Tamandua tetradactyla: one gene and its partner. The protein of the gene in region 1 interacts with the protein of each later gene in a pairwise test. Links are inferred from orthologs where the notes say so. Each region holds a gene or a part of one and is shown on either strand. Other genes may lie near its edges. The genes, in order: AP3D1 and VAMP7.

What was found.
Region 2: the proteins of AP3D1 (region 1) and VAMP7 interact in a two-hybrid assay, tested with the Homo sapiens proteins (2 studies listed by BioGRID and IntAct). The link is inferred for Tamandua tetradactyla from reciprocal best matches to the Homo sapiens genes AP3D1 and VAMP7.

The regions. Positions count from the first base shown.
Region 1 is NC_135337.1:80,791,846-80,808,720, forward strand, and holds the start of AP3D1 (AP-3 complex subunit delta-1), read left to right. Parts: upstream 1-9,962; 5' UTR 9,963-10,035; coding exon 10,036-10,131; intron 10,132-16,875. UniProt on the Homo sapiens protein: Part of the AP-3 complex, an adaptor-related complex which is not clathrin-associated. The complex is associated with the Golgi region as well as more peripheral structures.
Region 2 is NC_135353.1:64,321-81,149, forward strand, and holds the start of VAMP7 (vesicle-associated membrane protein 7), read right to left. Parts: upstream 6,707-16,829; 5' UTR 6,569-6,706; intron 1-6,568. UniProt on the Homo sapiens protein: Involved in the targeting and/or fusion of transport vesicles to their target membrane during transport of proteins from the early endosome to the lysosome. Required for heterotypic fusion of late endosomes with lysosomes and homotypic lysosomal fusion.

The DNA of each region.
Region 1 (16,875 bases):
CCCTTTTGGTCAGGATGGAATTGTTGATCCCACGGTGCGAGGGCCAAATTCATCCCTGGGAGTCCTCTCCCGTGTTGTCAGGGAGATTTTCACCCCTGAATGAGAACATGATAAGTTTTAAGGAGGAAAATCCAGCAGGGAAGGGGGAAGAGTATAAGACTTCATTTTATTTTTTTAGCCTGTTTTCCATAACAGAAAGGGCAATTTCGGGGTATTCTGATTGCTGCCCCATAAGCTGTGGCTTTAAAAAGCCAATCCAAACGAAAAAATAAAACATAACATTTAAGTTTTATCAGTACCAGAAGGAGTGGATAAGTTCTAAATTTCAGTTTTAGCCCCTTCCTATATTTAGTTCTATTTTGTTAGAATATCAGAAATATAATGGAGCAAGAGGAAATGACTTACTGGTTTTATAATTAAGTGACAAGAAACATTAATTTTGAGTTGTAATATAGAAACAAAGTTGGCACATCTAGTTTAAAAACATTTTTAAAAGCCCATATAAAAAAAATGGAAAAACAGTTTAAAGTGTAACCTAAATGAAGGATTCCCTTTAAAAGTTCAGGTATCAAAATAATGAATTTGTCCTTTGAAGTTTATGGATTTATGAAGATCCGCTGTTCATTTTCTCTTTGGCAAAAAAATACTTTACTAAGATGTTCAATGTCATGGAAGAACAATTCATAAAATAAAAAAAATTAAACTTTAAATAGTTATAAAAAGATAATGCAATTAAGTATAAAACACAGGGGAAAAGTCACTTATCTTGTGGGCAATTAATACATAGGAAATTTTGGGCCTAAGGTTCATATGGAAGGAAGATTTAGAGTTCAGGATGTCTTAAAGAAACGTGTCTTATGCTTACCTGGCAGGGGAGACACCATGATCACGAAGGTGGTTTTCCCAGGGCGAGGCTTGTCCATTGCACTCCGGGTGTGCTGACCCCTGCGATTTCCCCACATGCAGGAAACTCGACTGCTGTAATTTGTGGTAGTGGGGACTGCGTGTGCGCTCTCCCCTGTGTGCGTTGTTCTCAAAGACAGATCTGTTCTGTTCCCTGTTTCAGGAATTTTCTTTTTTTTCTGGAAGTGTTTCAGATGTTTCAGATGTAACGGGTTATATAGAAAACAAAGTTTGTGCTGGTTGAAGAAAAAAAAAAGAAACGTGTGTTGATGCTGCCGACAATGGCTTTGTTTCCTACTTTCATGTTAGACCCCAGCTGCCAATGATCGGCTTATTGCTGACAATTTTACCCCTATGAATTCTTGAACAAATTGAGACATATTGATTTGGTATGAGGTGAAGTAGAAAAACCTTAAAAGGGTCGTTCTTAGAACAAAAATGACACTTATGACCATTTGGCAAGTACATTTATTACCTTAGTGATTGAAATCCTAAAATAGCCTACAGCTGTAGGAGGTAGAAAATAAAACACCCCATATTTAGCATTTGGCTAGCCCTCCCCCTTAGTTTTCACTCCAACTCCAGATCTCTACATTACTTATTCCCTATCCTCTCAGTAAAGCTATCAATTTTACAACCATTTACTACCTAAATTTACAGAGCTGGAGATGCCAAGAAAAATCTTTCTAAGGAGCTTCATTTCAAGCCACTAAATGTATCCAATACTTAGGTCATCAATTGAGGTCATTATGTACCTCTCTGGTCAATTAACTCAGTTTACAAGAAAACATGCCAACAGAAACAACATGAAGAATAAAAAAAAGTTGACCAATGAACATGTCTATGTGTAATTCCAACATATCAGAGTAGTTATGCAAACCCAAATTAGTAGTATTTTCATTGAACTGATAGGAAAAAGCCATATATTAAAACCATATCACCAGGGTAGGCCACAGTGGCTCAGCAGGCAGAGTTCTTGCCTGCCATGCGGCAGACCTGGGTTCGATTCCTGGTACCTGCCCACGCCAAAAAAAAAAAAAAAAAAAAGTGTATAAAACCATATTACCAGTGTTTACTGAAAGTAGGCGTTTGTTTTACGCAAAATTATCCTAATAACCAAAAAACCCCACTACTTATTGGAGAGTTATATTGTGCTGATAGCCCATAAATGGTATTACAAGAGGATTTCAGTTTTGCGTAGGCTGGGTTCGCAGTGATTATGCTAGTACAGAGATCATATGTTCAATATTACTAAAACAACATCTGTAGTGGAATATATGTATGGCATGTAAAAAACTAGCATTGCAGCTCTTAATGGCAACAATCCAAACTGGCAGCTGCAAGAAAAGGTGCTGCTAGAAATCAAAAAACGTTAAAGAAATTTCGTTTCAGCAATACTAGTTTACAGTGCTTCTATAATGAAATGTATTAATTCACATACACTTTTCTTGCAAGCACTAATGGACCAAAGGAGAATGGACTTTTGCCCCCTTTAACTACTAGCCCAATCCTGAAAATGGAAGCAATCACTTGCAATCTCCCATAGGGTCTTGTTAGGAGAGGACTGAGCAGTTAGCAGGAAGTTCTGGTTGATGTAGTGTTGTTTGTTTCCATCAAACTTCCCAGTTCCACTGGTCACAACGAGAACTGTGGTCTGGGACGACTGGGTAGCTTGCTCATGAACTGGCTGGCAAGCTAACATATTGACCTGGAACTCACTAGAAGGCCACATTTCAAAAAAATTAGCCAGGGCTTCCAGCCCAGTAGCAACATTCCCATTCCATGTTAAAGTGGCCTTGTCGAGATACAGTGTGGTTAGTGCCCATTGCCTTTTGCCCATTGTTTCACGGTAAATATTGACAAATTCCTCAGCAGCTCTACATGCCTGATCCATGTAAGTTCCGGTTCCCACAGGCCGGTTGGCGGTTCTTCATGAGAATAGTTGCTCCTTCCCTGGTGCTTTCCTCTGACTCCCTGACACGAGCCTCTTCTGAATTTCCTCATAGTTGCAAATCTTACTTTTTTTTTTTACATGGGCAGGCACCAGGACTCAACCCGGGTCTCTGGCATGGCAGGAGAGAACTCTACCTGCTGAGCCACCGTGGCCCGCCCCATAGTTGCAATCTTACTCTTTATTTGGCTTGCTTTTTGCTAGCCTAGCTCTGGCTGTGCCTGTCTCACAGCACAACTGGTTCACTCCACTGCTCCCCTTTCACTGCCAAAGCTTATTTATATTTATAGTGTTAATCGGTGGGATACATGGCTCTATACAACCCCTTTCAATCATGTTCACCTTCAGTATGGCAATAGTATTTATAGAGCCACTAATGAACTGCCTCTTCCTGCCCTCTGTCCCCAAGCAATCACTCGTCGCTTCCTGTCTCTGTGGATACTTTGGCATTTTCTAGAGCAAGGTCCCACTGTTACGTCGGCTTTTGGGGTCTGCTACCTTTCCATATAAACTTTACAATCACTTGTTCGAAAACCATAAAATAACTTGCTGGGATTTTGATTGACATTGCTTTGAACCTGTATACCAAGTTGGAAAGAATTGGCATCTTAATAATATTTGGCCTTCCTAGTCATGAACATGGAATATCTCTCCATTTATTTAGACCTTTTTAAAATTTCTTTCGTCAGGGTTTTTTGTTTTCTTCATATAGACCTTGCTTATATTTTGTTAGATATATACCAAACTTGTTTCTTTTTCTTTTTCTTTTGGTGCGAATGTAAACAGTGTTGTGTTTTTTCTTTATTATTATTCAACATAACAACATAGAAACACAAACATTCTTCCCATATGATCATTCCATTCTTGATATATAATCAGTAACTCACAGTATCATCACAGAGTTGTATATTCGTCATCACGATGATTTCTTAGAACATTTGCATCAATTCAGAAAACAGGAAAAAAAAATCATACACACCATACCCCTTACCCCTCCCTTTCATTGATCACTAGCATTTCAATCTACTAAATTTATTTTAAAATTTGTTCCCCCTATTATTTATTTATTTTTAATCCATATGTTTTACTCGTCTGTCTGTACCATAGATAAAAGGAGCATAAGACACAAGGTTTTCACAATCACACATTCACACTGCGAAAGCTATATCATTATACAATTATCTACAAGAAACAAGGCTACTGGAACACAGCTCTACATTTTCAGGCAGTTCCTTCCAGCCTCTCTGTTACACCTCAACTAAAAAGGTGATATCTATATAACGTGTAAGAATTACCTCCAGGATAATCTCTTGACTCTGTTGGGAATCTCTCAGCCACTGACACTTGATTTTGTCTCATTTCTCTATTCCCCCTTTTGGTCAAGAAGGTTTTCTCAGTCCCTTGATGCTGAGTTCCAGCTCATTCTAGGATTTCTGTCCCACGTGGCCAGGAAGTTCCACACCCCTGGGAGTCACGTCCCAGGTAGACAGAGGGAGGGCAGTGAATTTGCTTGCCGTGTTGGCTGAGAGAGAGAGAGGCCACATCTGAGCAACAAAAGAGGTTCTCTGGGGGTGACTCTTAGGCCTAATTTTAAGTAGGGTTAGCCTATCCTTTGTGGGGATAAGCTTCATATGAACAACCCCCCAGATTGAGGGCTCTGCCTATTGCTTTGGTTGTCCCCACTGAGTGTTGTGTTTTTAAGTTCAAATTCTCATTGCTCATTGCCGGTACAGAGGAAGGCAACTGACTTTTATGTATTAATCTGATATCTTGCAAACTTGTTATAATCGATTATTAGAACCAGGTTGTTTTTTTTTTTTTTTTTTTAATTAGTTCTTGCTGGATTTTCTACATGGATAAGGATCTTCAAAACAAAACCAGTTTTATTCTTTCCTTCCTAGCCTGTATAATTTTTATATCCTTTTCCTGTCTTATCGTATTAGCTGTGACTTCCCGCATAATTTTTTTTTCCTTCTCCAGTATGCTTTTGAATAGGAGTGGTGAGGGGAGACATCCTTTTCTCTATTGTTTTCCATTTTATATTTCACTGATTACTCTTCTTAGTGTACTCTCCTTAGTGACTAATTACGTTAAGTCCCTTTTCATGTGCTTATTGGTCATTCATTCTTTGTTGGGTGATTTTATAGTTTCATTATGGTTTGGATTTTTTTTTTTTTTGCCATTCATTTCACTTTGCTAAAGTGTCAGTTCAAATATATTGCCCATTCCTCTTTTCTACTTTGGGTTTAATTTGCTTCTCTTTTTCTAGCTTCTTAAATCGGAAGCTTAAGACTTTTAGACCTTTTTTTTTTCTTTTCATTTTTTACCAGCTTTTTGTTTGGAAACAATTTCAAACTTACAGGAAAATTACAAAAATAATACAAAAACAGTAGAGAACTCCAAAATACCCCCCCATCTAGATACCCAGATTTGCCAACTTTCAATGTTTTGCCACAGTTTTATATCATTCTATCTATCCATAATCTATCTAATCTTTTCTCTAATCTATTTTTTTCTGTGAACATTTGTGTATAAGTCTTTGTTGGGAAATATGTTTTTATTCCCCTTAGGATGAGATTGCTGGGTCCTGTAGTAAATGTATGTTTACCTTTGCTAACAGAACTGCAGAGCTGTTTTCCAAAGTGGTTGTACCTCTCTGCATTTTCCCCAGCTGTTTTCACACTTTCAAATTTTAGCCATTCTATTATTAGGCATGTTGGGATAGCCCCTTGGGGAGCATTTCCTTAGTGACTAATTACGTTAAGTCCCTTTTCATGTGCTTATTGGTCATTCATTCTTTGTTGGGTGATTTTATAGTTTCATTATGGTTTGGATTTTTTTTTTTTTGCCATTCATTTCACTTTGCTAAAGTGTCAGTTCAAATATATTGCCCATTAAAAATTCTGGGTTTATTTTCTGATTATTGAGTTGGAAGGATTTTATTTGTACAGTCTCATTTGAGGCTTTCGTCAGATATGTATTGTAAATATTTTTTTCTCAGACTGTGGCTTGCCATTTTCATTTTTGTAACCTTTATTTTAAGAGCAAATTTACTATTTTGATAAAGTTTATCTTCTCATTTTTAAAAATGCTTTGTCCTTTTTTATGTCCTATCCAAAAAAAAAAATCCTCTAACCTCAAGTATCAAAAGATTTTTCTCTTCCCTTTTCTTTTAGAAGTCTTATAGTTTTAGCTTTTACAATAGGTCTATGATCCATTCTGAGTTAATTTTATATGATGTGCAATAGTGTCAGACCACTTTTTTTTCCATCTGGATTTCCAGTTGTCCTTGCACCGTTTGTTGAAAAGACTTTTCTTTCCCTTTTCAATTATTTGACACTTTTGTGGTAAATTAATTGAGGAAACACAAGTGTGGGTCTATTTCTTGACTCTCTTCTGTTCTAACTACCTTAGCTTGATAGTAAGTCTTGAAATCAGGCAGTTTAAGTCTTCTAACCTTGTTCTTTTTTTTTTCTCCTTTAATTGTTTTGCTTGCATCCTTTCACTTTTAAACTATTTGTGTCTTTATATTTAAAGTGGACAACACTCTGTAGGGAATTATTTTTAACCTATTCTGACAATTGCTGCCCCTTCATTAGAATATTTAGACCATTTATATTCAATGGAACTGTCAGTAGGGTTGGGTTTAAACCCTACATATTTGCTATATGTCCCTTCTGTTCTTTGTACTTTTTTCTTTACTTTCTTTCTTTTAGATTGAGTTTTTCATTATTCAATTTTATATCCATAATCATCCCATTATAGCTATTCCTTTAGTCTTTTTTTAATTTTTAATTTTATTTATTCATTTATTTTTTGCATGGGCAGGCACTGGGAAACGATCTTTTAGTTTATTTTTAAGTGGGTTTTCTAGGAGCACAATATGCGTTTTAAGTTATCACTGTATCCCTCAAATAATATCATACTACTTCACGCATAATGTAAGACCCTTACAAAAGTATACTTTCATTTTCACCTCTCAATCTTCATGGTATTGTTTTACTTCAAACATGTTATAAACTCCACAACTCATTACTGTTGCTTTAAAGAGTCTATTATCATTTAAGGAAATTTAAAAATGATATTTATCACATTTTAAATATTTCTTCTTCCCTTCATTTCTTTGCATAGATCCAGATTTTTGTTTGGTATTACTTTCCTCCTTTTCAAAGAACATCTTTTAACATTTCTTTTAATATTAAGTCTACTGGCATCACATTTTCTCAACTTATATTTGTCTAAAAACACATATTTTCTCCACTTTTAAAGGATATTGTTGCGGGGGGTAAAATTCTATTTTTATTTCATTGTCTACTGGCTTGAATAGTTTCTGATAAAAATCTCAGTCATTCTTATATTTGTTTCTATGTACTTAAGGTATCCTTTTTCTCTTGATTCTTTAATTTTTTTTATTTATCTTTGGTTTCCATCATTTTAATTATGATGTGCCTGGTGGGCTTTTCTTTGTTTTTACTCTTGGTTGGTGGATTTATGATTGTCATGATATTTTGGAAAAAAATTTTTTTTTGCTACTCACTTTATATATTTTTCCTCCTTCCTCTCTTTCTAGAACGCCAATTATATGTATGTTAGATTACCTGATATTGCCCTATAGGACAATAAGGTTCTTTCATTTTGTTCCCTGTGTACTTTGTTTTAGATATTTATTTCCATGCCTTTAAAGTTAAAAGTTGTTTATTTTTATTTTATGTTATTATTTGTATGGCAAGTTTGGAATAGACTTTACTCTAGGACTAGCTTATCTCTAAATAAGTTACCACTTAAGGTGTTCTGAAGTCTTTACCAAATGACCTGTGCTGCTGATACTTCGAACATTCCCAGAGCTGTATTAAATCTGGAAATTGTCCTTTCCCCAGCGGTTGTCTCCTGGAGTTTCACTGTATAAACGTGTGGTTTAACATTCAGCCACAAGCTCAAGGGAAGCCCTGTGAAAACTTAAGAGCTTTTTTTTTTTTTCACACCTCGGTCAAGGGAGTTTTATTGCAAGTATGCAAGGGTGCTTCAACACAAGAAAATCAATTATTGTAATTTTTTTTTCTTAACAAATTGAAAGAGAAAAACCACCTGGTCATCACGATCAGCACAGAAAAGGCAGTTGTAAAATTCAGCATCCTTTCTTTTTTTGTTTTTTTATTTTCATATTTTTATTGACAAAACATAACAACCTACAAACACGAATATTCTTAACGTACTAACACTCCATTCTTGGCATATAATTAATGACTCACAATATCATCCATAGTTGTATAATCATCACCATGATCATTTCTTAGAACATCTGCATCACTCCAAAAAAAGAAATGAAAAGAAAAAAGAAAAAACTCATACATATCGTACCCCTTACCTGTCCTGCTCATTGATTAAGAGCTCTTTCCCTGTGTAATTCCCTTCTCTCCAGTATCTGGAGAGGCCTATCCAGGGCCTCAATTTGGGAGAACACTAGCCTGGAAATTGTCTCCAGGCAGAAAGCTGGGGCTGTGCAGGGCTAACCTTGTTCATTTCCTTTCTCTCAGGAATCCCAGTGCTGCACTGCTTCCTGTGTAATGTGTGAAAACCACTGTCTCACATATTTTGTCACGTTTTCTAGTTAAGGCTGGGAGACCAATTCCCAGAGCAATTACCTAACACATTCCTTCAAAAAGGCAGAAATCCATTGCATGGACATTATCAGATTTTTTATTTAAACACAATTTCAGCTCTCCCAGATATAGTTGTGTGACCTAGGACAAGTTACTTCACTCGGTTACTACAGATTCATTTTGCCTGTTCTTGAACTTCACATGGATAGAATTATATAGGGTGCACTCTTTTGTGTCTGGCTTAATTTGCTCAACTTCATGCCTGTGTAATTCATTCATTTCCTTTATGTATCAGTAATTTGTGTAATATTCCATGATACGACTATATCATACTATTTATCTATTTTAAGTTGATAAACATTTGTCCTGGATTTTTGGCTAACACGAATAAAGCTGCTGTGAACACTCTTGTTCACATCGTTGGATAGACTCACGTGTTCCTGTTGGCAATACACCCAATAGTGAAACTGCTGCATCATAAAGCACATTTATGTCAGCTTTAGTAGAAACTACTTGTTTTCCAAAATAGTTGTGCCATTTTATATGGCATTTTTTCAACACTTGATATTGCGATCTTTCAAATTTTAGTCTTTTTAATTTAGTGAGGATGTAGAGGTGGCTCGTTCTGGGTTTAATTTTTGTTAACTGATGACTAACGATATAGGACACTTTAAAAAATATGCTTATTGGCCATTTGGATGTCTTTTTTCCTGAAGCCATTTTGGACGTTTCTTTCATTAGCTGTGTTTTTAACTGGGTTTTCCTTTCCTTTGGGATTTTTTAGACTTCGTTTTGTCTTGGGTTTTTCGCTTAACCATATTCGGGAAAAGTCCTCTGTTCCGTTTTTTGGAAATCCCTGTGCTGCCCACATCGCAGGACGGTGCCCGGCTGCCTGAGAGAAGAAGCAGGGTTCGACCCCGACGTTGTCGGGTTTGCAAGACCTCGGGCAGCATCAGCTTTCAGATCCAGAAGGAAGGGAGAGGGGCCGCTGGATAGGTCCCCAGGAGCTGGCCTGAAGGCTCCACGTGGGCGCCCCGCCTTCGGACGTCAGTCGTGGAGAGGCGTGGCACAGCCGGGCACCTGGAGGGGGTGTGTCTAGAACCTGGAAGGCGGAAGTAGGCGGAGTCCTGGAGGCCACTGACCAATGAGGGGGAAAAGTCCTGAGACGGCAGGGCGTTCTGAGAGGGCGGTGTCGGCGTTCCTATTGGGCAACCTGGCGTCGTCAGGGAAACGCTGCCCCGGAGGCGGAGGGGTGAAGCCTTCAAGGAGGCGGGGCTTCCGGAGGGCGGGGCGGTGGGGACCCGGGTGCCCGCCGTCAGCTGACCTGCCGCCATCTTGTCCACCATTTGCAATCGGCCCTGACTGGGAGCGCGGCCCCTACGAAGCGGGTCGCCGCCACCGCCGCTTCCTCCTCCTCCTCAAAGGACCCAGCCGCCGACCTGGCCTGGGAGTCAGCCCCGCCGCGGCGGCCGGCAGCTCAGCCCTCCGCGGGCGGCAGGCGCGACCCCCGGGCCCCGGCCCCGCGCCCGTCTCCGGGCCTCCCGGGGCTCGAGGCCGGCGCGTTCCCCGTCGGCTTCCGCGATGGCCCTCAAGATGGTCAAGGGCAGCATCGACCGCATGTTCGACAAGAACTTGCAAGACCTTGTCCGCGGCATCCGCAACCACAAGGAGGACGAGGTGAGCCCGCCGCCCCCCGCTGGCCCCGGCCCTGCCCGACCCCGGGCTTGCACCCCCCGGGGCCTCCCGGAGCCCCTCATGGACCTCCCAAGCCATCTTCAAGGCGCTTCTGCCGCGTGGCCTTCGGCGCTGTGGCCCCCGCCCTCCTCAAGCCTTAGTTTCCCCACCCTGAGACCCGCCCCTCCCCTGGGGAGGCCCAGGGTCGCTAACAAGCGGTTGTCGCTTCCTCGCGTGTGTCGGATCATCTTGAGGGGAGGGGTGGTGTCGCTGTTAAAGGTGCAGCGTCCCGCGCCCCGCGGCTGGGCGGCCTCCCTCCGCTGCCTTAGTTTCCCGCTGGGCGATCCGGGCCCGCGTCCCCCACCCCGGGTGGCCACGACTGCCGCGGGCGTTCCTGGAACACCTCGCAGGTCCTCGCCCACGGTTCTCCGACCCGAGTGCGTTCCCGAATCACCTGTTAAAGTGTTCAGCGTCCGGAGCCACTCCCCAGGTCTCTGGATTCCTCGTTGGGGGAACCCTTGTCGTTGGCAGCGCCCCCGGGGAGATCGAGGCAGGGGGTCTGCGGGCCGGCCCTGGAGAGACCCCTTAGCGGGCAAATGCCGGTGTTCAGCTCACACTTCGTGGGGCATGATCCAGAACCGGGCGGGGTCTCAGGGCCTTGCTCTCTAGGCCTGTGCTTCCAGAGGGATGGGGTTTCTGAGGGGGGGGGGTTGGGGGGCGTGGGGCGGGGGCTGTGTGCGGGCAAGGCAGCAAGCTCCTCATCTCAAGGAGGGAAGCAGGGGCTCCTGGAATAGGGAAGCGGACTTCTGGCAGAAACCGGAGCCCGTGGGAGGAAAGCATTTTCCAGAAGTAAAATTTTAGCTGCGGGCATCGTTTCCTTCCCTCCCTACCCCCAGCCTGTGACCTAGATTAAGGAAGAATTGGGACAGTTAGTGGCCAGGAACCTCCGAGGGCCTCATTGGAGGAAGCCACTTACACAGTGGAAGCCTTAAAAAGGCCACCTCCAGCCCAGAGAGAAACGCGCTATCCACAGGAAAGCAGAAGCCAGATGGTACACTTACCTGCCCTTGACCCCAGTAAAGATTTTTTTGCAGAGAAGTTAAGAAATTTGCTGTGAGACCCCTAGGTGCCCCCAGCTGAGTCCCTGTTCCCTGGGCTCTTGCATTTTGCTACCCTTTTTCAGAATTGGTGTGACCTGAAATGCAGTTGGATTATTTTTGTTTATTTCTCCCTTCTCTTTAGCTCCACTTTGGTTTTGCTTATTAGAAGCTTTCCTTAGCCACTTTTTTTTTTTCCCTACTTAGCAACTTTTATAGCTCACTTGTACAGTCCTTTCAAGTTTCCTATCCAGGTGAAAATAACTGGTCTTTCTGGATTCTATTCACTGGTGGTGGCTAACTAAATTTATGTTGCAGTAGGATCCCCAGATTTTTTTTCCATTTTATATAGTGAATGTTCTGGGATTCTGTAGCTGTGGCCCCTGCACTTGAGACAAGGTGGATGGGTGGCCCAGTGTTTTAGGGAGGTGGACCCAACCTCCCCGGAAAATAGCCCCAGCCTCCGGTTCTTCACTGAGAACTGGTGTGAATAATTGACTACCTTCTCCCAGGCTTGGAGCAGATTAAAATGGGTCTTGATGGTATGGTAGAAGCATTCGTGAAATAGGGCAGGGCCAGACGGACCCTGGCGGTCTTAAGAAGTTACAGGTCTCCCTGTGACCCTGTTCTGGATGGGTGGGCGAGTTCCAACAGGACATTCGGATGCTCTGGTCTCCTCAACAGAAGTGTGAGGGTGGGGGTGCTTTTCAGATGCTCACCTCTGATTCCACATGTTCGTCTGGGGCTGCTTGTGGCCTTTGTGGGTGGTTGGAGACCAGCAAATGACTGTCCACTTACCTTCTCAATTCCCCCACTCTTTGAAAGTAGTTACAACCGCGGCTGGCTCAGGTTCTTCCCTCCCACCCAGCCTGTCCCCTAGCTAATGCTATTAGCATGGTTTTTTTCTGTGGCAGTGTAATTTTTCCCAAATTTGTTTTATAATAGATTTTAGTTTTAAGTTTCTGCCGCATCATAGAAATTAGGGTTAGCAATGACTTCAGAAGCCACTTTGAAAGCCAGTGTATTGGAAAATGAATTATCTGAAGTTTGGGAGATATGAGTTCAAGTCCTCAGGCTTATTCCTTGGCTGACCTTGGATAGCCCCATCCTCTGATCTATTTTATGCTGTTTCCTTATCTGCCAAGCGGGGTTACTGCTGCCTTCCCCTCCTCAAGTTGCGGAGGGGAGAATGAAGGGACACAATGCAAGTTGTTGTAAAAGCTAAAGCACTGTAAGGAATTGTCTAGTTTAAGTTTCAAACCTCAGGCTATGACCCCTTAGTGGGTTGTAAATTTGATTTAATGGATTGTGTTTAAAAAAAAAAAAAGAAAGAAAGAAACTAGAAAATCCCAGATTTAATGTATTTAGAGTAACTGTTTCTTGAAATTTTGTTTTGGGGTATGTATGTGTACTCTCACATATGTATTGAGTGATGATGGAAAATAGATTTCTTGGTGCAAACCAAAAAAGCTTTAAAAAAAATAGTGGCTTACTTGTTATGTTCTTTTGGTGCTCAAATTTGTTTCGTTCCTTATGACAAAGGTTAATGTTGGCAGGACAATGGGAATCCACTTGGAAAATGGCTGGAAAGAAAGCAATGACTTAATGTTTTATTTGCGTGGGCACTTTTCATATTTTGGTGAAAACTTTTCTTAATCTTTATTTTTTTGTTCATTTCCAGATTTTGCCTTATTTTATATTTTTAATTGATATGGCATCAAAATGCAAATAGATTCTATTCTGTCTCTTATTTACTTCTTTTTTTTACTTATGGGTGCATGGTCCTGGAATCAAACCTGGCTCTCCCACATGGAAGGCAAGCATTCTACCACTGAACCACTATCCTGTCTTTTAAAACTTTATTTTTAGTTGTAAAATATACAAAACATAGAAAGCATTTTAACCACTTCTAATTTTTTTTAATTATAAAATGCACTCATAACTGTCTTAAGTTTGTTGCTATTTAGTAAAAGCTAAAAATGTCTTCCCTCCTAAATGCCTCCCCATGCTATATTCCTCCTGAGTAAGCTATTTCTAATGGTGTGTATGTACTTTGAGATTCTTTTCCACGCGTAGCGGTTGCAGTTGACTCTGCGTGTTAAGGTTACGTGTGTGCCTTGCCCTTCCAGGGCCATCGTTGTTACAGGCAGCTTTCAGTGCCAGCACGTGACGCTCTCCCTTTTTTCCTTCCAAAGCTCCCTGGCATGGACACACCAGAGTTTGTCGCGCCTTTCCGCTTTGGTGGGCATTAGAGTCAATTCCATGTTTTTGCTGTGAAAAGCAGTGCTTCCATAACGTCCTTGGCTGTGTGTCTTTGCTCGTTCCTGTTGGTGTTTGGATTGACTTGGCTCTTAGAAGTAGAATCGCTAGGCTGGAGAAAATGCGCGTTCTGAATTTGGGCCTCTTGCTCGGGTCAGGTGCTCTTTGCTCTTTGGGTTGGCCCTCCTCCCTCTTGCCTTTGCTTTTTCCTGACAAGTCTTTGTCTCCTGGAAGCTATTTCCTACCTCCCTAGGCCTGGTGAGGCTGCCCTTTGAGTGTCTCTTGGTACCTCTCTGTGGGGGCATCTTCTAGATCCCCAACTCTGGAAGCCACTGGGCTCTAGAACCCATCTCCCTGTTGCCAGCCAGTCACTGAGTGCATGGAGATACTGAGGCAGGCTGTTCCTTGGAGGTGGGGGCAACTCATAGGATGCTTCCATCACTCTCACTTCCCCCTCCACTCACCTCCAAGTTCCCCCCTACTGCTGTGCCTCTGTGCCACCCTCCACCCGGTTTCCTCTTACCAGGGTTGTTCCCGACAAAATCCTGCACATCTAAACCCCACCTGGGGGTTGGTGGCTTAACTGGGAGGCCCTGGACTGAACTTGGACTTACTTTTTTTCGCTGGCCCTGGTCCCCGATAGACTGGGGGTATCCTTATAATGACAGAACCTTGTGTTAACCTCGACTTTCTGACCCAGGTGTGATCCCTATTCTGCATTTGTGGATTGTGTGGCTGTCAGGTGGATGTGGGCCTTGCTCTTCCCTCACAACTCCTGCCTCCTCTGTTGGATCCTGCTCACCCTCCTCACCTGTTCCCCCCAGCCTCTGGGACCCTTGCTCTGCCCCTACTGACTCCCTTGTCCTCCTGCTCAATTTATTTGCCCAGGCCAGCACGCGAGCCTCCCCTTGGCTGTGGCCTCCCACTTGGCCCTTGGTGGGGTGCTGCCCTTCTTAAGGGCCAGGCAAAAAGTGCTTCCTCCCTTCTGGTACCTGGGCTCCTCCTCTGTCTCCTGTCTGGATGTCCATGCCATCTCCTGGTCATTCTGCCGTAGCCAGGGAGGCCATAGCTGTCTCACGCTAGCTCTTGTTCACTTCATGTGTGACTTGAGTGACCCTGAGAGTGATTGACAGGTCACTGGATCATGACCCCAAGACACCCCATCCCCAGAGTCCGTGGATGTACCCCCCACCCCCACCCTCTGTGGTGAAAGGCTTTTGCAGGAGGAGTGAAGCAAGTGAGAGGGGAGATGAACCTGGACTACACACGTGGACCCACTGTCATCACAGGGTCCTTAAAGGCAGGGGGCCGGTGGGGGTCAGAGTAGCTGTGACAATAGAGGTAGAGGTCAGAGTGATACAGCCATGCACCAAGGAAGACAAGTGCTTCTAGGAGCTGAAACAGCCCGGAAACGGTATGCCCTGGAGCTTTCAGAAGGAACCTGCCCTACGGCACCTCAGTTTTACCAGCAGTGGTGACCTTGCACGTAGGGTATCCAGGATCATGCAAGAATAGATCTGGGTGGACTACAGCCACCCAGCTGATAGTGAATTATTGCAGCAGCCACGGGAAATGCTGCCCAGGAAGGCCTTTGTTGTCTCTCCCGCCCCCCATCTGTCTGCCCGCCCACCCACCTTCCTGCCCCCACATGCATACCCTCCCAGCATTGTTGCTGCTTCTTCCCATACTGCCAGCATCCTTGCTCTGCCTCTGACTCCTGGCCTGCTGCTGGTCCCCTTGCAGCACACCAGCCCTCAGTTGGGGCCCCTGTGTGTCTTTTTGCTGCTTGGGATGCTACACCTGCAGGGCACATCCATCGCCTCAGCGGTCCCACCTGCCAGGCATCTCCAAGTCTCTCTAGTGGCCTCCCCTGTAATGCCCTCTGCTGCTGCTCACAAGCCCTCCCGTGCTTACGCTTATCATGGGAGCTTTTCTCCTGTGCTGTTCCAGATACCTTGTTTGGGCTGCCCCTCCCCTCAGATGAGCCTTAGAAACCCTCTACCCCTGCCTGGTGAGGCAGCCTTCACCATGAGTCCCGGCTTAGGAACAGCATGGGGGGCAGTTTTGCCTCCCTCCTTCCCCCCCAGGAATACTCTGTCCACCCCCAGTGTCTGGGGACATTTTGTTTGTCACAGTTTGGAATGGGGTGCTGCTGGCATTGAGTGGGGTGGGGACAGGGATGCTGCTTAATACCCTCCAATGCCCAGGAATCCTCCATTGCCCATCCCCCCACCGCAAAAAAACTCCTTTACTTTGCTGGCTTCTGGACTTGTGCTTTGGGAAATTAATCTCATTGCAGTTCCATTTCCTTCTCCGGAAGAGGGTATTTTGGGTGTTGGAAAAGACTATATTTGTGGTGACCAGGCTGCACCTCGAGCCTCTGGTCGGTACAGTGTGGGTGCAGGCACTGCACAAATAAATGCCTGCTCTGGGCAGCAGAGTTCTCCTGAATGCAAGCAGTCCTCCAGCTGTTCTGTGGCCAGGTGTTAAAAAGTTTTTGAGCATAGTGTGGTCAAGTCTGAAGTTTTTTTCAACCGCTAAGCTTTGCTTAGAGTAACTAGCAGCCGCGTGTTTTTTGTGAAGCCAGAGGAACTGGTTTGGTACCCCTGGGAGAGAAGTGGAGTGAGCCTTAGCACTCCGAAAGAAAGCAGGGGCTTGTTGCCTTGGTCTCATTCTGTGAGACCACTCTGCCCCCACGGGAGATTTCAGAACAAAGTCGAGAGGTTATTCTGGATTATTCTCATGCGTTATATGGATATCCCTTTTGAGGTTTTAGTGTATTAGAATAGCTAGAAGGAAACACCTGAAACTGTTGAACTGTACTCCAGTAGCCTTTTTTTTTTAAACATTTTATTGTAAAATATAACATATATACAAAATAAAGAAAAAAAAGCAATAATTTTAAAGTACCCTTCAACAAGTAGTTACAGAACAGATTCCATAGTTTGTCATGGGCTACCATTCCATCATCTCAGGTTTTTCCTTCTAGCTGCTCTAAAATACTAGAGGCTAGAAGAAATACTAATACAGTGATTCAGCAGCCATACTTGTTTGTTAAATCCCATTTTCCCTGTATACTTCTTCCTCCTCCTTTAATTCCCCCAATGTATAGGGATCTCTGTGCAATGCCTCTTCTGACTTTTTCATATCTAAAGGATAGAGGGATATTATTAATTGATAAACCAGGAAAGACTGGTCCCTCTGAGTTGCAGGATTTATATAACCTGGAAATCCTCTGAAAATTATATATTCCAGGAAGGCAAATCTTTATAGAGGCTCAGTTCGAGCCCCAGGTGTTGTTAAGAGTCAACAGGAGTTACGTGGGACATAATTCCCAGGGGTCAGATCTCTCTGGTAACATAGGGCAGAACTCCCGGTATGAGCCAAGCCC
Region 2 (16,829 bases), on another chromosome or scaffold:
AAAAGAAAAAAAAAAGAAAAAAAATTTAGAATATTTCATTGACATGATCCTTCAAAAGTAACTTGCTATCATTTATCATCATCTACCTAGAGATGGTATTGAACAAGATTCTATATAATAAGATCACACAACATTAAACTTAACAACAGGCTTAAAATCAGGTTTAGCAAAAAGGGCTACAAGCTTGTAACCTAAACCACACTGATACACATATTACTTATAGACAAACAAAATACATACACATACATACATGCATACAGTTGAACCTCATTATTCCATAATCTGCGAATCTGCCTACTAGCTAACATTTATTTGTAACCCCAAAATCAATATTTGCAGCACTTCCGTGGTCATTTGTCGACATGTACAGAGCTGTGAAAAATCTGAGTTGCCAGACATGCGCTTTCTCAGTTGAGCTCAAAGTGACACTCTGCCTTCTTGTTTTAGCTCTCATAGTATAAAAAATCCTTTTTCTGGTATATTTAGTACCATATCTTTTTCATATTTTTGTGCTTTTTGTTGATGATTTCACTACTTAAAATGCCTAAGCATACTGCTGAAGTACTGTCCCAAGCACAAGAAGGCTGTGAGGTGCCTTACTGAGAAAATACATGTGTTAGATAAGCTTCCTTCAGGCATGAGTTAGTTATAGTGCTACTGGCTGTGAGCTCAATATTAATAAGTCAACAATATACATATTAAATAAAATGTCTTTAAACAAAAACACACATAAAACAAGGTTAAGTATTGATCTATTGATAAAAATGTGACCAGAGGATTATAGGAACCTAATCCCATATTTCCCCTAGGAGCAATGGTTCAGTATTTGCTAATTCAGTATTTACTAATTCAGTATTTATAGCGACTTTATAAAACATACTACAATGAATGTTAAGAATCAGCTACATAAACATTAGACTGAAAGATAGACTGCATTTACAAATTATACACCACAAACTAATATTCGTTTTTTTGCCTTTTGAAAAGCAATGACCATATATAGCAAAGAGACATAAACATATCTTTACCCTTTAATTCAGTGATTCCATCCTGAAAATCTATCCTAAGGAATCAGTTCAATAGAAGTTAGACTTTAGATTCACAAATATACCAATTAACAATAATAACAGCCCATTTTTATTAAGTGCTTAACTATGTATAGGCACTATTTTAAGCACTTTATAATTATTAACTCATTTAATCCTTACACAAGTCAATGAAATTATATACTATCAGGATGCTCATATTACAGATGAGAACACTGAAGCTCAGACGATTTTAATAATTTGCCAAAAATTATAGAGCTAGGAAGAGAGAGAGCTGGGATTTAAACTCCAACAGTATAGGTTTTGGAATCCACGTTCTTCACCTATACTGTATGCTATCTCTAGCATAAAGGCATTATCCATAACAGAAACAAAGTGGAAACAACCCAAATATTCAACAAGAGGAACAGTTTTATAAATTATGGTAAGATCTTTCATAAACACAACCTTACTAAAACAATACAGCATGAGTTTAAGATTATTTTTCTCATGTTTAGATATGAGTAGTACTGTCTTTTTTCCTACAAAAAAAGCCCAGTTTCTATTTATCTAATGACATAAACTTGTAAAAAGAGATGAACAAATACCATACTACTATTCAACTAACTCATCAATTTAATGTTATTTGTTAACATGCTCAGTTTCACCCAACAGATCAGGGATTATATCCAACTTTAGTGTGATTATGAGTCATCTGGGATGGCACAGTGAGAGCCACATGTTAAAAATCCAAATTCTCAGCATTATACCATGAAATTCTGACTCAGCAGGCCTGAGGTGGGGCCCTGGAATCTGCATTTTAAAAAGCTTGTCTGGATTCAGGCAATGCACACAACCATACTTTGTGAACACTGAAGAAGATTAGGACGTGTTTGAGGTCAAGGAACCTGTTGATTCCTTCTTGGAATGCCAGCACCAAAGCACAGCACACAGAACAGAAGGGGCACTTCTGTTTCTAGAGCTGAACTCCTCTTGGAATTGCTTCTTCATTATATTATCTAATTGAGACTGTTCCCTTGAGTTTCCTTCCATATTCCCATTTCTCCTCATACATACATGACAATTTATAGATTTCAAATCACTTCCTCATACATTATCTTCCTTGATCCTAAAATCCTCCCTTGACCTTATAATACTCCAGGTACATTCTATTTCTTAAAGTCTTTGTGTGCACACATTATCTCTGCTTCTCCACCTTCTTTTAGCTCTTCAACTTTAATACATTCTGATGTTTGTCCTTAACACTCCACAAAACCATGCTTGCTAAGAGCACCAAGAAAATCTGTTGCAAAACACAGTGGTCACTTCTCTTATTCTCAACTTACTTGACCTCTAAGAATAATAAACATTGCTGATTAACCCTCCTTCTTGAAACACCCTCTTCCTACATCTCTGGCTGCTCCTTCTGTCTTCCTGATGACTCCTCTTCTTTCACCTTACCTCTAAATGTTGAATTTCCTTAGGTATTGATTCTGAACCCTCTTATCTCTTGATGAGCCCATCTAGACTTGATATTTTAAACACAATTTATTTGCTGAAGAGAGTACACACAGAATAAAAAGAGTAGTGCCAAAGAAAAAACCAAAGACACAACAACAGTTTAGGGGAAGGTAGACAAATAGGGGCCCACAAAGAAGATGAGGAGAAGCAACTGGAAAAGTCAGAGGAAAACCCAAAAGTATGTGGTGTCATGGAAGCCAAAGAGAAAGTAAGTTTCAGGAAGGACTGAGTGTCAGCTTCTAGTTGTGCTCACTGACACGGAATATGAAGGCAAAGGCTGTGAAACAGTCACTGAAACTTTATAATTAGGAAGGAGGCCATTCGTTAGGATCAGTAAGACAAAAAGTAGAGGAGAGTAAGTAGAATAAAAACACAAAGAGAAACAGATAAGAAATCATATGGTCCCCTAGACAGAGAAATGAAAAACTAGAAAACTTGGCTCTAATAATTACTAGAAGTATATGAATACCTAACTAACCATAAAGTATTATATAAATGTAAAGTAATACTCAGGAAGAGTGAAGAGACAAACCAGAGAGAGAGAAAAAGGAAAATAAAGACAACAGAATATAAAGGAAAGGCCTGTCTCAATATGGTTCCTCCTCTCTTCTTTTATTCTCTTCTTTTCTTTCCACAGTCATCATTCTAATTCTACTTCATTTCTGCTAAGAACCCCTATTTTAGAAACTTACTGTTCCTCCTTAATCAATCCTAATCTTACCTCTCCATATATTTACATCTCCAAAACTTCTCTTTCCTTTCCTCATATCTTGGGGGCTTGTCCTTAGGGCTCTGGGCCTGAAGAGCAACCACCACAACTTGGTGTTTGAGAAGTCTAATAAGTTCCAAGGAAAGGATATTTTTGTTCCAGTTGCTGAGATTCAAAAGAAGATATGTTATGGGGAAATCCAAGTTAGAATTCTGGATGCAATTTTTTTCTTATAATTGTGGTGACAGTCTTAAATTCACAAAATTAAGATTAAGCAAGATGCTACTGACATACAAATCTGTCATGAAGAGCATTATTTATAGAGAAAAATGCATCCAGAGTTTCAAACAATAATCTTATGAAGGAACTTCTGGAATATATTCATTTATAAGTAAGGAGTTTCCTGTATTTAAGAGACAGTAACAAAAAAGCACAGTAGTGATGCACACTTCTCCTCAGTGGAGGCATTCAAGCAAAAGTTGAAGACAGCATCAGAGAACAGAGTAAGGGAAAAGACCAAGCCAACATTTTTCACACTGGAGTCCATGTGTTCTGAGGAATTTTTCAATTATGTATTGTTATTTTGTTAGTATTAAAGATGTATAAGTATATTCTGGACCATCTATATACATATCTCATAAATGAGTAATGGCACACAAGTCAGTGCCGCCTATGCATTCATGTCTGTGAAGGTATAGGTGCCAAGAAACCCTTTAAAGTGATGGTGCTTAATTTTTAATGTCTTGGAAGCAAGTCTAGCTGCTCTTAGGTTGGCATCCTAAAACCATAATAACAATTACAATTCAAGCACTCATGCATTCCTACTATGTTTTTCAAAATCAGTTACAGACAAAATTTATTTTTTGCAGTACTGATTGACAATTGAAAAATAGCTGCGTGGAATAAGATTATTTTAAGAATTGAGACTTTTACCTGATACTCTGAAAATGACAGTGTGGTATAATCACATTAATATATAAATTATCTTAGGCTAAGGAGAAAATAATACTCAAAGAAATGCTTATACCAAGTGGAAATCAAATGATGCCATAATGTGCTTCACGAACAAAGGTTGTGCAACAGTTCAAATACAGAAATGAAGTGGAATAATTAATTTATAATACATGGTAATACATTCAACACAAAAATCAAAAGAAAGTATTCTGCATCATCATTTATATTATTGCAAACGGATTTATTATGTGAATTCTTGCAACAATTCATTAGCAGAATGTTTCATAGGAAATACACAATGGGAAGTTTTTTTTCATTCTTATATTATGGGGTATATAATTATATTAATTGGCCCATCAACGTAACGGGGGGTGGGGGGTGGAGTTGAGAAAGGGTACCCAGGAAAGAGAAGGAACTAATTTTAGGAGGAAGCTATGGAACAAGAGAAAGCACCGAGGTGAGAACAAGCTAGAAAAGGTGAAGAAACTGCTTGATGAGATAGAATGGTCCACATTCAGTGAATGTGAAGGTTAGTGGATAAGGCTGACAGAGGCTTTGTATAAATTAAGTAATTTGGATTTAATCAAATGGAGTCTATTTCAGTTCAACACATACGTACTGAAGATTTTACTCTATGGCAGCCAATGTAGAAGACACTGGAGATATACAGATAAGTAAGAAAAGACCCCTATACTCACAAGTTCCACAGTACAATGGGATGGGGAAGACAGATATAAATAAATGCAATAAATTGAAATAAGTGAATAATCTAAGAATGTACACAATGAAAGTTTTGTGATTATCTCACCTTGGATGAAGAAAAAGGAATGCAGATATCAGCCTATTCATTAGGCATTCCCTCAGTATATTATTATGATTACTTTTCCTTGGAAGAGAGGTTAAAATGTCTACTTTACCCTCACAATGTTCTCAGTGCTCAGTACAGTGCACAGTATAAATATTCTCTCAAATATATATTGAATAAATGAGTGAATACTGAGCCTGTGGTTAAATATACTTGTAAATGATAGATTTATAGTCACTAGGCCCTGGAAAGAAGAATATTTTGATTACCAAACTATCTCTCTAAAATAAAGAAGTTGAGCTGATAGTAATCAAACCCTAACTCTTCTTTCTGGGTCTTAGGAGGAAATAAACCAATGAGAAATAAACCACCAATTCTGAAATAACAACCTTGGAGGAGACAGAAGAATGAAAAACAAATATTGCTATAATATGATAGACAAAAGAAAAGAAAGGACATTTATGAAAAGTCTGAAGCCTGATCACAGATCAGGTACTGTGTGTATCACAAATATTCTTCTAGGGTGATGCTCTAAGACTCAAGCTAATCCCTCTGTTAGGACAGGATCCCACTCTGTAAAATAAACCGTCTGTTTTATTTTGCATTAACCACCATATCATCTTGTTTATTCCTTTTTGTACCCCCCCCACGCCCCTGTCCCCAAAATACGGAAGCTCTGGAGAGCACTGACCTCTTTTGTCTTATTTACAAATATATCCCTAGCACTTAGAAAACTCTGTGGTGTATATGCGCTGTTCAATAAACATTTATTAAACGAATGAATGAATCTGCTCCAAGCCAAATGTATTCAAATGAGAAAGAATGCCCCAAACATGACAGCATCTTCTGGGATTAAGGGTGGGAAAATGGAAGTACAGGTAGTTCAGAGCAATTAATAAGACGGAAAGAAAAGGTCTTGATAATTGTTTATAGGGGTTCTGAGAGAGGGATATGTAAACCACTTACCAAGGAGTCTAGAATATAGAATTTGATAAATATTGACCATTAAAAATAATAATAGTAATAATAACAAACACATCTGACGCTCAGGAAGCCGATTTGGGCAAGAGATACAGAGTTCGTATTTGAACTGAAGAGGAAGATGAATGTCAACATTTGGTGGTGGAGGAGGGGCGTGAAGAGGGTTAGAACCCACTACTGAGCAGTAGACTTCCGAAGTAGAAGGTGAAGCAGAAGAGTGACGTCACCGAAGCAAGGGCATAGAGGCGATTTTAAAAGACTCAGGTGATTAAGAGATTCAAATGCTAAGGTGATGTCCTGGGAATGCTAACTGACAAAGTCAACATTTTCCTTCCTGTTAACAACAAATGAAGTGACACATTATGGCTTTCTTTAACCTGAGGATTTATCACAGGCATAAAACGCACTTCATCCAAACTGGATCTGCCCGACAATTCGAAATGTGGACCTCAGAGAATTCCGAGTCACCCTCCCATTGCCTCCTCACTCTACTTCGGTACCTTCCTGGCCACCCCCGCCTTCCCCTCTGCTGTCTAGTCCCCCACTTTGTTACTGAGCGCACCCTTTACGTACCTGTCCAGCGCCCTCTGCAAGAGCGCGGGTTCTGGACGTGGGGTAGCCAACTTTGAGCTCCCGAGGGAGGCTAGACCCCAATGCCGCCGACTTCCGTGTGAAGCGCCCCGCCCGCGCGCAGCCTCCTGGGAATGTGAGCTCTCTTCCAATGGGAGTCGTCAGCGGGGCAGGGCCTGCTGCTTTCCCTGCCCCTGCATTTCCCAAGAACCGGACTGCATTCTGGGAGTGTTAGTTCCGTCTTCCGTCTCTCTGAGTCTGTCAGGCGTTCGGTCAACAGTTCTGTCGTAACTGCTTACCAAGCGCCGAGCCAAGAGGGGAAAATGAGCGGCTGCAGGAGGACAGAAGGAGTCTATCAAATGGCGTTGGCGCGATAAATGAGAGGCTGGCTCGCCCCGCCGGAGCCTCGTTTACTTTCAGCGGAGAATGTCGCCTACTTCACAGACAGAAGAGCATTTATCTAACAAGAACTCCCTCTACTTTCGCCACTGTTTCCCAACCTCCTTGTATCCTTCACCTCTCCTTTCTCCCATTCTTTTGCAACAACAATAATCTACTCTTGATTTAAACACACCGCCCCTTACATCCGTATTTCCTCCTTCCAACTCATTTAATCCCTGTCTCCCGACTCTTAAACGGCTGCCTGCTTACACGCTCTTTATGATCAGCATTTAAAGATTGCCAGCATTTCTCTTATCTAAAAAAATTCCAGTCACCTTTCTCAAACCAACTTCCCCTAATGCCCTCACCACACAGACTTAAGCTAGTGGTCTTTCTCCCACCTCTCCTTCCCAGCCAAAATTCTCAATAGTGTTGCTAAAACCAATAGGCATTTTCAGCCATTATGTTACATCATCTCTGCAGGATTTTTACACTGTGGATTATTGCCTCCCTTTAAAAAGAAAATGTTTTTGGTTTTGCTTTTGCTTTAAAAAAAACGGTTTTTAGTGTGAAATATAACATATATACATTTAAAAAGGAATAAATTTCAGAGAACACCACAACAATTAGTTGTAGAACAGATTTCAGAATTTGGTATGGTTACCGTTCCACATTTTCAGCTTTTTCCTTCTAGCAGCTCCAAAACACTGGAAGCTAAAAGAAATATCATTATAGTGATTCAGCAGTCATATTCGTTTGTTAAATTCTATCTTCTCTGCTATAACTCCTTCTCCTTTGATTGTTCTCACAATCTTTAGGGATATTAGGGCTTTGCCCATTCTAACTTTTTCAGGTTGAAAGGCTGTCTTGACAATATGGGATAGGGAAATGGAATTATGTGATGTAAAAGCTGACCCCTCTGCATCTCGAGACTTAACTGGCCTAGGAACTCATCTGGAGGTTGTAAGTTTCTGGAAAGTAAACCCAGTGCATGGATCATTTGTAGAATCTCAGATAGAGCCCTAGATGTTCTTTAAGTTTGGCAGGAATCATGTTAGTCGGAATTTTGCAAATCCTGGTAATTAGCAATATCTAACTGAAACTTGCATAAGAGTAGTCTCCAGAATACCTCTCAACTCCATTTGAACTCTTTTAGGCACTGATACCTTATTTTGCTACATTTCTTTTCCCACTTTTAGACCAGAAGGCATTGTCGATCCCTCCATACCAGGGCCAGGCTCAACCCTGGAAGTCATGCCACATGTTTTCAGGGAGACTTTCACCCCTGAATGTCATGTCTCCTATGGGGTGAAGGTAATAATTTTCCTTGAAGAGTTGGGCAGAGAGAGAGAGAGAGAGAGAGAGAGAGAGAGGTGCCACATTTGAGCAACCAAAGAGATTTCCTGGAAGTAACTATTAGGCATAATTATGGGTAGGCTTAGCTTCTTCACTATAGAAATAAGTTTTATAAAGACAAGTCTCAAAATCAAGGGCTTGGCCTATACTGGGGGGGGGACTGCCTAATGTTCTAGAGAGTAGCAGGGGGTTCCCAGGTGGGAAAATTTAATATTTCCATATTTTTTTGTCCAGTCTCTCAAGGGACTCGACCAATACTTTTCAATTATCAACCTACCATTCTCTGGGATGTCTCCAGGTGTTACATTAAGCTATACAGAATTACAAGGCCTTGTTCCCATTCTGGGCTCCATGTGTTTGGATTGTCTAAATGAACCATCCAGACAGGTTGATTAGATTGTGTGTAACAGAAAATTTAAGTGCTAGACCCAATAAACATTTCTGCCTTTGGTCTCACACAATAGGTGAAGCTCTAGAGTACAAACACTATCATCGTTTACCCTGCATTCTGATTTACCTTAGTCCCAACAAGATCAGCTTCATTCTCATCTTTAATGGATGCCTGATCTCTTTTTTGGTTTCTTTAACTGTTGTTAAACAGTTGTATGTAGCCATGCTGAATTTCAGAGCTGCAGAACTACAGCTCTGAATCTTAAGTGTCACAGAAGTACTCAAAGTTCCAGGAAAATACCAATTTATACACATATGTCTCAGGATCAAAGAATCTACATATACACTTCAATTTTGTATTGAGTATGACTTCATGTTCTGCTTTTCTCTTCAACACACCCTGTATTCAAGCCTCTTCCTGTATAGTGTCATGCATTCATTTATTCATTCATCCATTCCTTCAGCAAATATGTGCTAAGTGCCTACTATGAGCAAGGTCCTGTTCTCGATGCTGGAGGTATGACAGTGAACAATACGAAAATGCCCCTGCCTTCATGGAGTTAACACTCAATACTACATACTTTTTAAAATACATTTTATTTTAGAATAATTTCAGATTTACAGAAAAATTGCAAAGATAGTGCATCAGTCAGGGTTCTCTAGGGAAACAACCAACAGGAGATATCTGTTAACATTATAAAATTTTATAAAAGTGTCTCACTCAATTGTGAGGATGCATGAGTCCAAATTCTGCAGGGCAGGCTGCAAGCTGGCAATTCTAATGAATGTTTTTGTTGAATTCCCCAGTAGAGGCTGGTTGACTGAAGTAGAGATAAAAATTCTCCCTTCTGACTGCTGAAGTCATCACTTCTCCTTTTAAAAGCCTTCAAATGTTTGGATTAAATGTCTGTCATTGCTGAAGACACTGCCTTTAGTTGATTGTACGTGTATTCAGCCATAAATGCCATCAACTTACTGATTTAAGTTCATAAAATATACTTGCAGTAACAGGTCAGTGCTTGCTTGACCAGACTACTGAGAGCCATTACCTGGCCAAGTTGACAAATGCACTGACCATCACAGTCCACCCCATGTCAACTTGGCAGCTATACCCATCATATTAAACCACACTTATCTCTAAATAAAAAACAATAGACACAACAATACTCAACTGTCCTGTGTACAACTGGAAATGCACTAAATAATTTCACATACTTTTATGCCTCACTGCCTTTGAACATGCTACCTACCCTGTCAAAATATTATTCTTCCCAATCTATTCCAAATATTGCTTCTTCATTTTCCAGAACAGCTTATGCTTCTTTTTCATCTCCATTCATCCTTTGCAAAGGTTTACCTTTATATTAACATTAATTCAATTTTATTTGATACCATTTCTTTGAGAAGCAACAGAATATTTTTGAAAGAGAATAACTTTTGAAAGTAGACAGACCTGAGTTACTAGCTGTGTGGATGGTAAATGATGACTCCATTAAGAGCTTTCAAGGCTCTATCAAATGCCCTCTTCTTACTCCATACTTTTTCTTAAAATGATCTCATCCATGCTACAAAATTTATGGTTCTAGTACAAGCCTTTATGTTGGAAAACCACAGAAGGCCTCTCTGAGCAGGTGACGTTAAAACTGAATTCTCAATTACAAGAAGCCAAGAGGGAATAGAATCCCAAGCAGAGAGAGCTGGGACAAAGATTGTAAAGTGGAAAGAAGCTTGATATATTTGAGGAACAGAAAGAAGATCAGTGTCACTGGAGAAGAGTGGAAGTGAGGAGATAGGGGCAGAGGGATAGTTAGGGAGTCTTGCAGGGATTTGTGAAACAGGAGGAGTTTGGATTTTGTTCTAAGTGTAATGGGAAATTATTAGGTTCGAGTAGGGAAGTGATATGATCTGATGTATGTTTTAAAAAAATTATCTGGCTTTATTTAGTATGGTAATACACCATCTATCCTGCTAATAAATTAATATGTACAGTTAGCAAAAGTGAATATTTTCCAAGAAAAGTGCTTCTGGATGCATACTTCTATACATCCTCAACCTAGCAGAGAGTGAATGCTCAAGAAGAGTTCATTGAAATAATGCTAACTAATAACAGCTAACACAAAACTTGATACCAAACAACATTCTATTATATATTTTAAGATTATATATATGCATATACATATGTGTATATGTATATATATATATATATATATATATATATATATATCTTACACATACAGTTATTTAGTCATCGCAATAACGGTATGAAGTAATTATTATTATCATACCTGTTTTTCAGATACGGAAGCCAAAGTGTTAAGTCGCAAGGCTATTGTAGCACGGGATTTGCATCCCCTGGTTTTGGCTTCTTAGCCCTAGCTCCTCTTGCATCACTGTTCGGAAGCTCCTTAGAGGAAATTCATGGAGGAGTGGATAATCATTAGTGGTTGACTAAATGAAACTGCCCCAGATGGATACATAAGTACATGTTTGCTTCTGCACGCCTCCTCTGTTTCCATTCCTGCATTCTCGGCTGTGTCCACTTGGAACGGGACTTTGATGAAGAAGATGCCAGGCTGGGGAAGGGAGTGGGGGCAGAAGCGCATATTTCTTAGCAAAATGGTTTGAAGACAATGAACAAACGCTAGTGAGGGGCGTAATATTTAGGAGTACACAGTCCAGGTACCTCGGTAGAAATACCCCAGGGGGGCTGCAGAGCTTGCAGCCAGCGGGGAACAGAGAACAGGAGACAGCCACAAAGGGGAAGGTCCAGTCTCGCGTCACTCATCTGTGCGGCTGAAGCTGAAGGCGTCTCAAGTGGAAGCCACCCAGGAGGGGTGCGCTGGAAAGATTAGGCACAGCACCTACCTTCTAGTTTTCTTTCTCCCAGCCGAAAGTGGGCGCTCTTTTCTATATTGAATGCGGCGCTTTAATGTGGCCTTAGTTGGGGAAAGCGGCAGAAAGCAGGACCAATTCTGCAACCTTCTTCCAGCGACAAAGGGATTTAACAACTATCTAGGCCATCTTTTGTTTGGTTTTCATTGCTCCCCAAGAAGAGAGTGAATGGAGTTTCATCCACTCCTTCCTCGCCCTGCTCAGGATTCACACGGGACTGCAGCTAAAATAACATGAAAACTGGACCGCTGATGGAGTCCGTCCCCATAATCGAATATATCCAGGCCCAAGGGGCTTGCTCTGAATCACACTGGTGTTAGAGGGAGAGGAACTAGGACTAAAATCCTCGCAGCTGCCTCTCGGACCATTGCTCTCCCTAACACAAGGGCTTACTTCCATTATATCCCTCAATTTCAAGTCTGTGACCACGATTCCCTATAAGGCAAAGAAAAAAGCTTGAAGTAGCTCACATGAAAAGGTAACAGTTCTGATGCTATATTTTGAAGTATTGGAAGCTGTGACTATGTGTTTAATACAAATGAAATCGAGGAATGTATTTACTTTAGTTTGTTTATCCCAATCCATTCTGGAAAATAGTGAGAGTATTTTGGGAACTATATAAACAAGTCGTGAGATTTCAGTCACACACATACTGTGGTTCACAGAATCACTGAAATATATCCTCTTGCTCAACTCTACAGTTGTATTATTGACAGCTAACACTTTACTATAGCTTAACACAGCTGTGTATATCATTAACTTTGCTGAGAGATTAAACACTTTTGTAAGAACACAGATTTCTAAGTGTAAAGGAAAGTCATTTACAATTTTAAGGGGACTGAAGTAGCATATGGTTTAATGGCTTTCCTTTAGCAAGCATCTATGGAGGTTGCTGAAGGCCAGGAACTGGGAGACTAAGAAGAGTACAGCCATGTGTTCACACTGCGTGTGTGTGTGCGCGTGTGTGTGTGTGTGTGAAGTAGACAAATATGTAAGGCACGGTGATAATTTATGTAAGAGCTACTTTATGAATAAAATAGGCAGAGGAAGGAAAGGAACAACATTAACGTTTTATATAGTCAACATTTATTTACTGAGTTTCTTCTATGTCCAAGGTACCAATACAACAGTACACAGAACAAAGTTCCTGCCCTTGTAGAGATTGCAGTTCTTGAGTTTTCACTATGTGTCAGGCATGCTTTCTTACATTCTGTTTTGTTGCTTAATATACATGGTCTCAGTTAATAGTCCATCAACCCTGGGAGATAAAAAGTATCATCTTGAAGTCCATTTCTTGAAATTTCAGCCACAAATATATATTTTTAAACAATTCATAGACAGCTCCATAATGAAGATATATAAAAAAGGGCACAGTGAACATGGTAGGGGCAGCAGATGGGATTTAGATTCAAAGAGACTAACTGCCTTGTTGAATATTAAAGCAAAGCAGAAATTCAAACTCAAGCATGATCTTGGTTCCAAAATGCCTTCTATACACTGCAGCTTTTTCTGGGGTCAAACCCAAGCTGACTTCACAATCAAACTATCTTAAAGGATGACTGGGACAGAGATGTAATGGGAGAAAAGGTTATTGCTTATATTATAAATCCCACAGAAAGTACTTCCTTTTTTCAGCTATTAAGGTAACATGATTCAGTTGTCCAGGTTTATCAAGAAATTATTCATTCAATTTTTATTCACTCAATTATTCACTATTTCAGCCTACACAATTAGAAAGGCTAACATTCTAGAAATAACTTTTTTAGAAGCTATCACTACAACTTAAATTTTGACTATCTGCAATTAAACAAAGCAGTTAAGTTCAACAATTTTTTTAAGTTTCTTTTAGCAATGTTATGTAGTTTTCTGTGTACAAGTCCTGTACATCCCTAGTTTAAGTTCATTCCTAACTACTTGATTCTTTTAGTTGCTATTTTGAATGGAATTTTTTCCTTAACTGACGCCTCAGCTAGGTCACTGCTTCTGTATAGAAACGTTATGAGTTTTGCACGTTAATTTTATATCCCACCACTTTGCTGAATTTGTTTATTAGCTCAAATAACTTTGCTGTTGATTTCTCAGGATCTTCCAAGTATAGTATCATATCATCTGCAAATAATGAGAGTTTTACTTCTTCCTTTCCAATTTGGATGCCTTTTATTTCTTTGTCCTGCCTGATTGCTCTAGCTAGAACTTCTAGCACAATGTTGAATAATAGTGGTGACAGTGGGCATCCTTATCTTGTTCCTGATCTTAGGGGAAATCTTTCAGTCTATCTCCATTGAGTATGATGCTTGCTATTGGTTTTTACATATATTCCCTTTATCATATTGAGGTAGTTACCTTTGATTCCTATCTTTTGGAGTGTTTTTATCAGAAAAGGATGTTGAATTTTGTCGAGTGCTTTTTCAGCATCAATTCAGATGATCATGTGATCTTTCCCTTTTGATTTTTTAATGTGCTTTATTACATTAATTGATTTTTTTGTGTGTTGAACCATCCTTGCATTCCTGGTATAAACCCCACTTGGTTTGTAGTGTATAATTTTTTTAATGTGTTGTTGGATTCGATTTGCTAGTATTTTGTTGAGAATTTTTGCATCTATGTTCATTAGGGAGATTGACCTGTAGTTTTCCTTTCTTATAGCATCTTTACCTGGTTTTGATGATATTAGCTATATAAAATGAGTTAGGTAGGTTCCTTTTTCTACAATTTTCTGGCAAGGTTTGAGCAGAATTGGTGTTAGTTCTTTCTGGAATGTTTGAAAAGTTCTCCTGTGAAACCATCCGGCCCTGGGCTTTTCTTTGTAGGCAGATTTTTGATGACTGATTGAATCTCTTTACTTGTGATTGGTTTGTTGATATCTATTTCTTCCTGAGTCAGTGTAGCTTGTTTGTGTGTTTCCAGGAATACGTCCATTTCATCTAAGTTGTCTAGTTTGTTGGCATATAGTTGTTCCTAGTATCCTCTTATGATTTCTTTTATATCTTCAGGGTCTGTGGTAACACACCCCTTCTCATTTCTGATCTTTTTTATTTGCATCCTCTTTTTTTCTTTGTCAGTCTTGCTAGTGGCCCATCAATTTTATTGATTTTCTCAAAGAACCAACTTTTGATTTTATTGATTGTCTCTATTGTTCTTTTGTTCTCCCATTCATTTATCTCTGCTTTAATCTTTGTTATTTATCTTCTTTTAGTCACTTTAGGGTTAGTTTGTGGTTCTTTCTCAAGTTCCTCCAAGTGTGCTGATAAGTCCTCATTTTGTGCTCTTTCTTGTTTTTTAATATATGCATTTAGGGCAATAAATTTCCCTCTCAGCACAGCCTTTGCCACATCCCATAAGTTCTGATAAGTTGTATTCTCATTTTCATTCATATCCAGATAGCTACTGATTTCTCTAGCTATTTCTTCTTTGACCCACTGGTTGTTTAAGAGTGTGTTATTTAATCTCCATATGTTTGTGAATGTTCTCGTTCTTTGGTGGTTATTGAGATCCAGCTTCATCACACTGTTATCAGAGAAAGTGCTTTGAATAGTTTCAATGTTTTTAAATGTATAAAGACATGATTTGTGCCCCAGCATATGTTCTATCCTGGAGATTGTTCCATGAGCACTAGAGAAGAATGTATATGCTTGTGTGTTGGGGTGCAATGACCTATATATGTCTGTTAGGTCTAATTCATTTATCAAGTTATTTAGCTTCTCTATTTTCTGATTGATCTTCTGTCTGATTGCTCTATATAAAGAGAAAAGTGGTGTATTGAAATCTCCTACTATTATTATTGAATCATCTATTACTCCCTTCAGTTTTGCCAATGTCTGTTTCATGTACTTTAGAGCTCCTTGATTGGGAGCATAAACATCTATGATTGTTATATCTTCTTGGTGAATTGACCCTTTAATTAATGTATAGTGTCCTTGTTTGTCTCTTATGATGTCTTTACATTTAAAGTCTATTTTGTCTGATATTAGTATAGTTACTCCTGCTTTCTTTTGATTACAACTTGCAGGAAAAATCTTTTTCCATCTTTTCACTTTCAATCTATTTGAATCCATGTGTCTAAAATGACTCTATTGTAGGGTGCATGGGTAGTTCAGTGGTAGGATGCATTCTATTCTGTGGTACTTGATACTGAGGAGTAACACTGGTTCTTTCACTTTCTCTTGGTTGACAGGTGCAAGCATTTGAAACAGATAGAAATTGCATCACATTTTTGTTGCACCAAAAGAACCATACCTTAGAAAACTCTCTTTATTATATGATCATGAAGAAGTTAAGTATATATGCTGATGCACCAAAGGGTTAGTGGTTTATTCCTAGAACCACTGGAATAAACATTGGTTTCTAAATTCCAATATATGGATGGACTACGTTAGAATCACCTTGGTAGTTCTTGCCTACCAAGTCAGACTTCCGAGGGTGGGACATAGGGATCTGTACTTATAGCTAGGGAGCCAGGTGATTCTGATAAGCATTCAGGCTTGGGAAGAAAACTGGAAAAGTAGAAACTATCAGAATCTATTTATTTTATCCCACGATCTTAAAATAGTCTCAGATTTAATAGTAAACTGGAGTCAGGTTTTTCAAGTGGCATTTTTAGTGCCATTTGTCCTTTCATAATGAGAACTTTCTATGTGTGACTTAAATTTTTTTTTTTTGTTAGAGAAGTTAGGTTTACAGAAAAATCATGCATAAAATACAGGGTTCAGATATACACCCTATTCTTAACACCTTGCATTGGTGGGGTACATTATTTACAATTCATGAAAGAAGATTTTTATAATTATACTATTAACTATAGTTGCAATAGGGTTCACTGTGTTGTACAGTGCTTTTTTAAAATTTTTATTCTAATAACATAAATATGACCTAAAATTTCCCCTTGAAACCACATTCACACATATAATTCAGTGCTGTTAATTATTTTCACAAATTTGTGCTACCATCTGCATCATCTATTACCGAAACTTTGCAATCAACCCAAATAGAAGTGCTGTACAATTTAAGCATTAACTCCACATTCCCTACCCCCAACCCAGCCTTTGGTAGCATATATTCTAGATGCTGACTGTATGAATTTGCTTATTCTAATCATTTCATATCAGTGAGCATACTGGTTTGAAACTAATGTGTACCCCAGAAAAGCCATGTTCTTTAATTCTCATTCAATATTGCTGGGTGGGAGATTTTTGATTAAGTTGTTTCCATGGAGATGTGACCCACCCAATTGTGTATGGGACCTTTA